2 linked regions of the Caenorhabditis elegans genome follow. The protein of the gene in region 2 purifies or fractionates together with the protein of the main gene of each other region. This does not show direct contact. Each region holds a gene or a part of one and is shown on either strand. Other genes may lie near its edges. The genes, in order: lig-1 and ctf-4.

What was found.
Region 1: the proteins of ctf-4 (region 2) and lig-1 fractionate together in Caenorhabditis elegans (co-fractionation; one large-scale study listed by BioGRID). This does not show direct contact.

What each region holds. Positions count from the first base shown.
Region 1 is NC_003283.11:10,812,309-10,817,235, reverse strand, and holds lig-1 (DNA ligase 1), read right to left. Parts: upstream 3,124-4,927; coding exon 3,071-3,123; intron 3,025-3,070; coding exon 2,817-3,024; intron 2,771-2,816; coding exon 2,346-2,770; intron 2,300-2,345; coding exon 937-2,299; intron 886-936; coding exon 613-885; 3' UTR 518-612; downstream 1-517. Other genes in the region: C29A12.1 (uncharacterized protein), read left to right, coding at 3,847-4,065, 4,111-4,235, 4,280-4,476, 4,523-4,686, 4,733-4,792; C29A12.22 (Transposase), read right to left, coding at 4,892-4,927. UniProt on the Caenorhabditis elegans protein: DNA ligase that seals nicks in double-stranded DNA during DNA replication, DNA recombination and DNA repair.
Region 2 is NC_003283.11:10,961,113-10,967,334, forward strand, and holds ctf-4 (WDHD1/CFT4 second beta-propeller domain-containing protein), read right to left. Parts: upstream 4,428-6,222; coding exon 4,344-4,427; intron 4,298-4,343; coding exon 3,786-4,297; intron 3,736-3,785; coding exon 3,502-3,735; intron 3,454-3,501; coding exon 3,342-3,453; intron 3,297-3,341; coding exon 3,113-3,296; intron 3,069-3,112; coding exon 2,755-3,068; intron 2,711-2,754; coding exon 1,017-2,710; intron 953-1,016; coding exon 781-952; 3' UTR 722-780; downstream 1-721. Other genes in the region: eef-1G (putative elongation factor 1-gamma), read left to right, coding at 4,713-4,721, 4,863-4,985, 5,053-5,373, 5,418-5,550, 5,877-6,222.

The sequences.
Region 1 (4,927 bases), 150 kb from region 2:
ATTGTGAGAAGGATACCTGTTACGATTCTTTCCCGATACGCTTTTTTGGATAGTAGCGGATTCATGGAATGACGTGACAAATTCACCTAGATTTGTTCAAAGTTTTAATTATTGCTTCAAAGTTTTAATTCTAAATAAACTTTTTGTTTGAAACTTAAGAATATTAATTGAATTGGTTTGAGGCATCAGAATGTCTTATGCTTTCTGCTCTCCCGTATTGAACTGCAAATCGAATTTTGCGGATGCGCACTACGTAAGTCAACGACACAACAGAAGAATGCACGAAGGAGAGAAGATGATTCAGGAGTACACAGACGTGGTAGAATGTAGATATACATTTGTCTTTTTAGTAAAGTTTTACTATGTGTTTGTTTCTAGGTATCTAGGTCAGCGTCTATCTCTTTCCTAAATAGAAGACTCAAAATCCAAAGTTCTGAATAAATCAGTTGAAAGTACAACACATTCGCACACATGAATGAGTTGTTTAAAATGACCGGCCGTGAACAAAAGAAAAAGTCGATGTGAGGTATTTACTTAGAAAATTAGGAAACATAGTACAAAAAGTAAATCATTGAATATGCAGAAATGTATCTCAGTATTAGTTGCTTGGCATTAGTCGGAATCGGAATCAATTGCAACGCGAGACCTCTTCTTTGCTGGCTGTTTCTTATTAGTTGAGGTTTCTTCATCAGACTCGTCAGAATCAGAAGGCAGCTTCTTCTTTCTGATCGGAGATGGAGATTCCACTTTAACGTCTTTTTCATTCTTCTTTGTCGATGATGAAAAGATGCTAGCAACTGGTCCTTTCTTTTTCTCTGCTTCTTTCTTTATTGGTGAACTTTTCACGGGCGATTTGTTAACTGGTGAAGATTTTACAGGCGGTTTCTGGAAATAATATATATAATTAGCGATAATGGTAATTTCAAAAACTAAAACCTTTTCGAATTTTTTCGGGGATACTGATTTAGGAGTCTCTTTCTTGATCTCCTCTTTCACTGGATTTTCTTTAGAACTTCCTTCAGATACATTGGTCATGTTCAACTCCTCCTCTTCATCTTCTTTTTCTTCAAATTCGTCATCCTCATCAACTGCATCCGCCTTTTCGATCTTCTGGTTGGCAAAAGCTTCTTGGTTTTTGTACATTTCAAGAACTTGCTCCGAAGATGTTGCATCGTCGGAATTTTTATCGTCCCGAATACGCAGGAAACGAGGAAATCTCAAAGAGATTCCTTTTCCATCATCCGTCAATCCACTTGCAGCTTTGTGACGCGGAGATATAGTAATATCGGCACATTTGACTTCGAAAACAAGATACGGAGAAAAAGTGTCATCTGGTTTAAGAGTGTGATCAAATTGATAATAAGAAGGAGATTTGTCAATTTTCTTGTCTTGTAGGATCTTGTATTGCTCGGCCAAATCTTCATCAGTGAAACCAGTTCCAATCTTGCATACACTTTCGTACTCTTCTGTAGTAGGATTGTAACATCCGAGAAGATATCCTCCATACACTCCAGTTCTCTTTCCAACTCCAGAATAAGCACCCATGACGACAAGATCCAACGTATCTCCTACTCCATCAACGTAATCTTTCTTCATTTTCAACCAGCTGTGGGAACGTCTTGAAATCTCATAAGTAGCTTCAGTGTCGAGAGTTTTGATCATGAGTCCTTCGCATTTATTTTGAACGGCTTCATCGAAGAAAGAGTTGATTTCATCAGTATCATTTGTATCTACGGAAGTTGCAAAATAGAAGCTTCCATCAATCTTTTTGAAGTTTGTTCGAAGAAGTTCTCTTCTTTTTCGGAGTGGTTTTCTCACGAGAGGCTCCCCATTGAAGTAGAGAAGATCGAAAAGAAAAACTACAACCTTGACTCCGTTATCATCAGTTGCATTTTTCCTTTTACGAGTCGACAAAACTTGGAACGGAAGAATTAAGCCAGCCTCATCGATAGCTACAACTTCAGCATCGACAATAAATGAAGTTACCCCATCCCCGATGCAGGATGAAATTTTTTCGATAATATCGGGGTACTTGGTAGTGTTGTTCTCTTGGTTTCGACTGTAGATGAAAATTTGCCCGTCTTCTCGTTTATGAATCTGGCCGCGTTCTCCGTCATATTTCCATTCACAGGTCATTGTCTGATTTCTGAATCGTCGCATAATTTCATCAATTCCCTTTGTAGGGTGAGCCAGCATAGGTTTCAGTGGAATTCCGGGTGAAAGTTTACATTTTTCGACAAGAGCTTCCACACCTTCAGTCAGTGCAACTTCGATCAGACGATTGTAGTTAGGGCATTCGCTGAAAATTAATTAGATGAATAATTTAATAAAGAAACAATTATTACCAATAGGCGGTCTTTACTCGCTTAACATTTGCATCTTTCAGAGAATCGAGTTTGTCACCACGAACCTTTTGATCAGTTATTTTCGAAAGAGTGAATGCATGTCCAAGTGCTGATAGAACACTTTGTTCACCGAGACCGATTCTCATTTTGCCGGCGAGCATTCGGACGAGGAATCGAGCCTCAATTCCTTGACATGCAATGAGGAGTGCACTAATGGCATCAACTTTCTTGTTCATAGCTGAAGTGCCACTGAGCTTTGCAATTTCGGTTAACTTGTTGAAAACAGTTGGAACAGTTAATGCTTTTGGAACAGCAAGCATTTTCTGATTGGATCTTGACTGTTGTGCGACAGTCCCAAGATCTCCTTTCGCGCGAAGATCTTCTTTAATTTTTCCCTCTGTACGTCCGGTCGCTTTAGCAACAGCCTTAAATTTTCTTTATAATTTAATATAGATTCAGTGGAATGCAAACCTTGATCAGCGAATTTTCAGCAACTCCAAGCTCGAGCCCTTCATACGATGGCCCGAGCTGATTAACTGACATGTACACGCACGCTGTTAAATCGTCGGGTGAAAAGTCCAGAACTTTGGTGAAAAATTGAGCCAATTCATCCACTTTCTTTTTTCCCGATAACTCTTCGATTTTCTCAAGGGTGAGAGCAAACTCCTTGTAAGGGACTCTGAAAATTTAGAAATAAAAAACAGTATGTTCCACAAAAAACTTACTTTGAACCCTTTGCCCATTCAACAGCGGCTTTGCCAGCTTTTGAGAAAAACATCTGAAACGATGAAGATGTGAAATTTACATTATTCGAGAAGAAAAGGTTTCGAAGATGAATAATTAATACGTGAAGGGATACAACGTAAAATACTTGGCAGTGTGCAAAATCAAGAGAATATCGAGCAAGTATTAAAAATAAAGTTGTATTAATCGAACCAGAAAACGATACATTTTGAACGGCGCGCGCACCAGATGCATTAGAGCACGATTGCGCGCACATGAGAGAGTGTGGAGACTAAGAGACATAGACAGTTAAAAACCGGCAAATCGTAAATGCTTCTTTCCTTGTGATTAAAGTCGACGTTATTAAAAATAGAAAAATGGGACATTGAAAATACCATCGTCTATTTGCTTTTTAAAAGATAGTGAGAGACCTATAATTAATAAAAAAAAGAATATTTAGACAACACATTTGAACCTACCAAAAGAAAAGTTCATTGCTACCGTACTCCAATGCCTGCACATCAAAAATACCGACTTTCAGCACGTCGCGGAAAATAACGGCATTCAGTTTCTTTCACGTGTTTTCAGCTCGACCATTCGGTGTAATTTGTGCAAACACCGTCACGCGCAAATGCAGACATTTTTGCACGCGCTGCGGTGAAATTCCTCTTGGCGAATTCAAATATTTTTTCCCGCCTTTTTTGAAAATTTTCGAGGCGTTAGTCGAGCTGAATACACGTGTCTTTCATCGATGTTCATTTTCTAACACTGTTTCAGAATGTCCCTGTCACAGAAAAAGGACCTTCTCGATGAACTACATAATGAGGCTGCAAAATGGTTGGCAGTCCTTCTCGATTTGTGTAAAAATGTAAAGGCGCCAGAGAACCAGCGAAACCTAGTCGCCTGGGCACAGAAGTGGATGGATGGGGCCGGAACACTCACTGACGAGCTTGAAGATTTTTCCATACGTGTTCACGTGGCAGAAACTGTGTCGGAGGTATAGACGAGAATGTGTTTAACAAACATTTGTTTCCTTTTTCAGATCAATCCTGCCGACAATGCTCCAGTTATGGAATGCCTTGTTGATGTCGTCAATGCAATAAATTCCATCACACAAAATATGTACAAAATTGTCAATAACGACCAGAACAAGCGATTGTTCATCGCGTAAGTTCAAAAAGTAAATAATTGGATTAAAAATATCATTTCAGAAAGTCAAATGCTCAAAGAAAGCATGCAAAGTTATTGAATGAGAAGGAAATTGTTATGAGACGACTGGAGCAATTGAAGAAAGAGCAGCTGAAGAAAACAATGGAATCCGAAAAAAAACTGAGAGATCTTCAAGCTGAAAATATCCGGCGAGATTTTCAAGAGCAGGCTCGTTCACAAGCTATGAGAGATCACGAAGGTATGAATTTCAGGTTGATTGATTTAATATTTATAAACTGTTTCAGTTTACCTTGCTTATGCGGAAGCCATTAATTCTGTAAACGTTACACCTCATTTCGAACATTTTGAGACCCCTGCGGAAGACATTTCTACACCCTTTGAATCGCCCAATCTTCCGAGAAAACGTCGCTCTCGCAGCCTTGGCCGGAAAGTTTTGGGATCTGTCAAGGTATAAAAATGGATTCCGATTTATTTTCATTCCTATTTAATTTTAGAAAACAATCCGCAGAAGCGTATCAGCTATTCACGACTACATCGATCATCATCACAAATAAGACGCCTAAATTTATTTCTTACAGATGATAACTCTATATTGTTCATTTCATAGCTTTTATATAAGTCGTTTTTCATGTACCATAAATATATTCACAATATCAATTCACATATTTATCAGTTTCCTGAACGAGAGC
Region 2 (6,222 bases):
CGTGTTGATTTTTCTTCAATTATTTCCATTTTAATCTGACCCTCGGGGTCGGTGGTTTTTGCTACAAGACTGTAATTCTTATTGGACATTTTTGGAGTGACTTCTAGAAAACGAACAACGGCAATGGTGAGATTGGTTACGGGTAAAGATCGATAAGAAAAGAGGAGTGGGTGAATTGAAAAAAAGAGGAAGGGTGGAGTAAGAAGAGTAAAAAAAATGAATTCAAACTTTTAGTTTGAAGCAAAATAGCCGACGAGAAGCGGTGGCAGCGGCTGTCGCGGGAGCTCAGAAAAGAAGCAAAGTGTCTACGTCTCATCAATTCATGCACTATTCGAGGGTCCCCTAGGCTTGCAGCACATACTCAACGACAAAAAAACGAGGGAAATTGATTTAGGTGGCACAATGACACGAAAGAAGAGCACACACAGACACACGCGAAGAGGGGAGAAGCATGGAAAAGGACCATTGGAAGAGATGGAAAGGTGGAGGAGGAGGGCGGGGAAAAGAAAGATAAAGAAAAGTTGGAGGAACTGGAGACCTTGAAGGAAGTGAAAGAGGAGGCTCTTCACTCTGGGCCGGCTCTTCCAACTCTTTCCTTTTCACTCTATTTCAGTTGAATTGAAAGTGAAACGAAAGACTATGAGACGCAGGTGGTAAAAGATAACTTTGAGCGTTCTTTGTGCACTTGGAAACATCGAAAACAATGACGAACAGATGTAAGTGACGTAGTCAAATTTATATGGTACAAATTGAATCAAAATAGTAACAAGCAAATTGCAATTAGTCTTGAGCAGCAGCAGTCAGTGCTTTTGCTTTCCATTCTTCTTTTTCATTTTTACTCAGTGCGCGGAACGTTTGAATGCAGAACTTTGAAAAATCAGCATTATCGCCATCAAAGTCAAACTCAAGGCTGCTTTTCGACTCCGTCAGCCACATCTCGTACGGACTCACACTGAAAATTTGATTTTTTTTTTGAAATAATAAATGAACCTTCTGAAAATTGTGACAATTCCTACCTTTTTTTCGCGGGCTCTTCGATTGGACAAAGTGTTTCTGCTTCATTTTCTTTTCCTTTCTGACCAAGATCCGAATTTTTTGATGACGTTTTCTTTTTCTTCTCATCAGACTGCTGAGTTCCACCGAAATTAAGTTTGGCCTGTTTACGAACAGTTTGATTCGTGCTTGTGACTGTCTCAGGTTCGCGAGCCCGTTTCCTTTGGTCATTTGATGTGCTTTCAAGTTGATCGAAGATAGATAATGATGCCTGCGAAGAAGCAGCTGAATCAATTTTAGAAGTATCAGAACCTTTGGCAAACGGATTTTTTGCAAGCCGTTCCAATGGTTGAACAGGTTGAGACATCATAGAGACGTCCATATTTAGATTATAACGAGAAGAAGATTCGTCTCCATCATTCGTTTGATCTTCATTCAATGATTCAACAGTTGGGCTAGGAGCCTTCTGTGCTTTTCTTGCTGCTAATGCAATCCGCTTTGTTGGCCAAATTTCAGTGTCATTGCAGCTACGATCATCATCATCTTCTGTCAGTCGACGTCCAATTTCAGCAACCTTCTCAGCCAAAGCCACTTTTTTGCATTTACTGGCGTAATTACACAAGCTCTGAATAGCTTTAGCGGATGCAGATGTTCCTCCAGACACTAGAGCAGCAACTTCAGCAGCTTGACCATCAGAATTGGTTTTTGTAAGCCAGGCAAACAGTTTTACAATAGTTTTGGTTAAAGTCTTTGCCTCTTCAACATGACTGTCACCATTACGTTCCAGTATTGCATCAGCTAACGATAGCTCTTTGAGGAACATTTCATGTTCCATTTCAGTTCGATGGCTTTCAGGTTGACAGAATGGTACTTTGAATTCTACAGTAGTCGGTGCATTGATTCCATTTACAAGGGGAGATCGGGATCCGCGACAATAGATGTATCGAAATTCTTTCACTGTGAGACCAATCGGGAAAATTGCGTCCGAAGGTGCTCTCAGAGCAGAAGAGCCTTGGAAAATAGGAATCCACAGACCTGGAGCGGATAGAACATGTACAGTGTATGCTGAATCCATCACGGCAAGTTTTCCTTGATTTGAATAAGCGATCCAGTCTAATTGCTCTCCAGTCTCAATAGGCACATCAATTCGGGAAACTGCTCCAGTTGAACCATGATGTCTGTTTTCTCGATACCATGATTTTGGATTTAAAGTATATTCTACAACTTCGAATCTCCATTGAGGTGTCTTTTTCTGTTCATAAAATTCCGATCCACACACCGAAGCGATTGCAAGTCGGTCTTCAAAGCAAGCAGCTGTGAGAATTGGTGCGAAATGTGTGAATATTTGTCGTTGAATTCCTCCAATAGTGAAAACTCGAATGTTTCGTTTTTTCGTGAGCACAACGACTTGAGTATTTGAGCAAAGCACATCAATACACCCGTCTCCACGAGGAAGAACCATCGACCACCGCTGACTGTCGAATGCTTGAATTGGAATTACATGTAGAAGACTAGTTCCTTTCTTTTCTGTTTTAGCAGGTTCATCAGTTTCAAGATCTTCAATGTCGTCGTTTGCTTTGTCAAGTTCTTTCTCTTTTTTCCGGCTCTCAACACTTGCCAGTGCAACAACCTTCAACGAAATATCCGCGAGTTCGTAGTTGATTTCAAAGTTGTCAATATGAATATCACCGTGGATGCTTTTATTGTGAAACTCGATCTGAAAAAAAAACGCTTGTTGTGAAGCAAGCTTATACAACTTACATCTATCGTTGAAACTTTATTTGCCTCGTTAACGTAGCTGCGAATAATTCCGAATCGATTATACTTCAGAAACCTTTGTGTTGCGTCGAGATCCATTGGAGAGCTGTTAGATACAAATCGTTCAGGAATAAGAACTTTTCGGGGAGCAGGTGGATCAGAATAGACTTGCGGGAGAGGATCATTCAAATTTCTGTCCGAGCTCATCGGTCGCATTTCCTCAGGTTCACCGAGTTTAAAACCGAATTCTTCAAGCCCTCCAAGATCTTGGTTCCCATAATTGAATTGTCGTTTGATAGCTCCAAGATCGGAAGACACTAAAATTAAAACATCAAGAGAAATTATATTTACAATCCCTCACTTCGGGTATCTTCATCTTCTTCAATGGCTTCTTCATTGAATAAACTATCTTTTTTGAGTGAAGTTCTATTCAAAAGGATTGAGTCGTCATCATCACTATCAACTGCAACATCTTCAGTTTTGTTTGAAACAGGCTTCTCGTTAGATGAATCATCTTTGAAGACATTAAACAAACAGATTCCTCTCTAAAATATTGTTACTTGAAAGTGCTCGAAAAGGGAAAAACTCACATTTGAATCAGCGACAATCAATTTTTTTGGGGAGAATGGAGAAAAAACAATAGAAGTGATGATAGTGATACCAGGTGCATTTCTCACGAATTTTTCACAACACACAATATCTCTGGAAAAAATGTATTATTTATCAGTTCACACATTTACCTAAATTTACAATTCATCACTATTCCAAACAGCAATTTGATTATCCATGGTTGAGGAGGCAAGATACTTCCCACACGGCGAAAGCGCAGTAACCGAAAAATCCACAGAAGCATGATCTTTCAAACGGTATACACCAGATTCTTCCCACCCATTTCGACGGTACGATTTCACACATCCTTTTGAAGGAACAAACAGCCATTGACCATCCTTTGACCATGAGAGTTGAATACGAGGTCGTGAAACACTGAAAAACAGGACATTGTTTAAAACCGAAGTATAACATGAAACACTAACTCAATTGTTTCAAATCTTGGGAAAACCTTGGTCAGTGTGTGTTTAATCGAGAATGAATCAATGTCTATAATAGTCACATTGCCATCCACAGTAGAAACGGCCACAAATTCATTTTTTGGATCCAGTTTGACACAAAGAACTTCAGCTTCAAGACTTCTCGTTTTCAGCTCTGCATCTAAATCTTTCATATTCGTGCATTTAACCGCATAATCGCTAGATCCTCCAATAACATTTTCCCTGTTTGCGTCGACCGTTGTGACATCCATTTGGAATTCAAGAGGATCAATAATATCTCCTGCTTCGAAATTGCCCTTTTTCGCCCGTCCCACCATTTGCTGCTCGGATCCAACAATGAAATCCACCTTGCGGTAACCAAAACAGATGTTTTCTCCATACCAAGCAATAGATGATGTTGTCGCATCGGGAATCTCGATTATTTCAGGTTTTTCATCTTGCAGCAACACGTTCTTATTGATCTTGAGTACATTTCGTTCAGCATCACAAACGTAAATCTGAAAAAAACAGGTAAATATGTTTATAAATCGTTTTAAATCCTACATTTTCAGTATCTTCTCCTGAAGCATCAATGCAGATAGTTTGAAGGCCGATATTCTCCAAATTTTTAACGTTAGTAAAGCTCATCTGAAAACAATGGAATTACGAGTGAAATTATTTATTTTCATCAAAAATAAATAAAATGCGAGCAAATTTTAAACCTGATTCTTGGCGCCGAAATGCGGTAAAAAAGTGTAATGCAACCATGGACCAGTGAACTGCGTAGAACCCCTATGTTTTGCGTACTGGCATTCTGCCAGGGGCACATACGCAGACTTTTCAGTGTATTTTTCCTCTGAAGAACACCACTCTTTTCAAGCGCCTCTTCTTTGAGCGTCGCTTCACTAGATTCTCCGACTCGTTGGTGACATCATGACCGGAGTAAGTTTATAAAATTAATTTCATTAAATTTGCAGTGCTGTTAAGAATAGTTAACGTGATTTCCGTTCGTTGCATTGAAAAATGATTAGGCCAAACCTTGAAATGACGAAATTTAACCAATTATTGATTTTTATTTTGCAGAAACTGTATGGAAACAAGGACAACTTCAGAACCCAAAAGGTTTTGATTGCTGCCAAGCTCGCCAACAAGACTGTCACCCTCGCCGGAGATGCTGCTCCAGCTGACAAGTTCCCACTTGGAGTTGTACGTTTTAATTTATTTAGATGTCAGTATTTGACGATCTGTGAACTATCAATGTGCAGAATTTCAGACCCCAGCATTTGAAGGAGATGCTCTTCTCTTCGGAGCTGAGTCGATCGGACTTCACCTGACTGGAACCTCAGCTAACGCCGAGACTGTCCAATGGCTTCAATTCGCAGAAGGTTATCTTCTTCCAGCTGTTCTCGGATACGTTCTTCCATCTGTGTCTGCAGCCAACTTTGACAAGAAGACTGTTGAACAATACAAGAATGAACTCAACGGACAACTCCAAGTACTCGATCGTGTTCTTGTTAAAAAGACCTACTTGGTTGGAGAACGTCTTTCTCTTGCCGACGTTTCCGTTGCTCTTGATCTTCTCCCAGCTTTCCAAGTACACTATGACCCAGATTATATGTATACACTCCTAATTTTCAGTATGTTCTTGATGCCAACGCTAGAAAGTCCATCGTCAACGTCACCCGTTGGTTCAGAACCGTTGTTAACCAGCCAGCTGTTAAGGAGGTTCTTGGAGAAGTTTCCCTTGCCTCATCGGTTGCTCAATTCAACCGTAAGTTTCTTTTTTGTTAGTGTGAATTTGTTTTGTTCCACTGCGAAGTCAGCAGACTAGTCAATCGATTAGTAGGCGTTACAGTGGTGGAATATCAAGATTTATGTACACCGTCTTTGCTTGAAACAGTTTTTGTTTTTGCTTTGTTCGGAACGTTTTTCATGGGACTGAGAGTTGGAAATTTAGCACTGGTCGTTTACAGGGTTGTCCTGCAGTCAATTCTAAGTTACCTTAGTTTATGTCCCACACATTTAAAAAGAAATCTAATTTTATAAAAAAACTTCTGATTTTGTATTCCCAGTTTAAATTTTATTCTTATTTTACAGAAGCCAAGTTCACTGAGCTCAGCGCTAAAGTCGCCAAGTCTGCTCCAAAGGCCGAGAAGCCAAAGAAAGAGGCCAAGCCAGCTGCTGCGGCTGCCCAGCCAGAGGACGATGAACCAAAGGAGGAGAAGAGCAAGGATCCATTCCAAGATATGCCAAAGGGAACATTCGTTCTTGACAATTTCAAGAGATCTTATTCCAACGAAGACACCGCTACCAAGGCTATCCCACACTTCTGGGAGAACTTCGATGCTGACAACTGGTCCATCTGGAAGTGCGAGTACAAATACCCAGAAGATCTCACTCTCGCCTTCATGAGCTGTAACCTTATCAATGGAATGTACCAAAG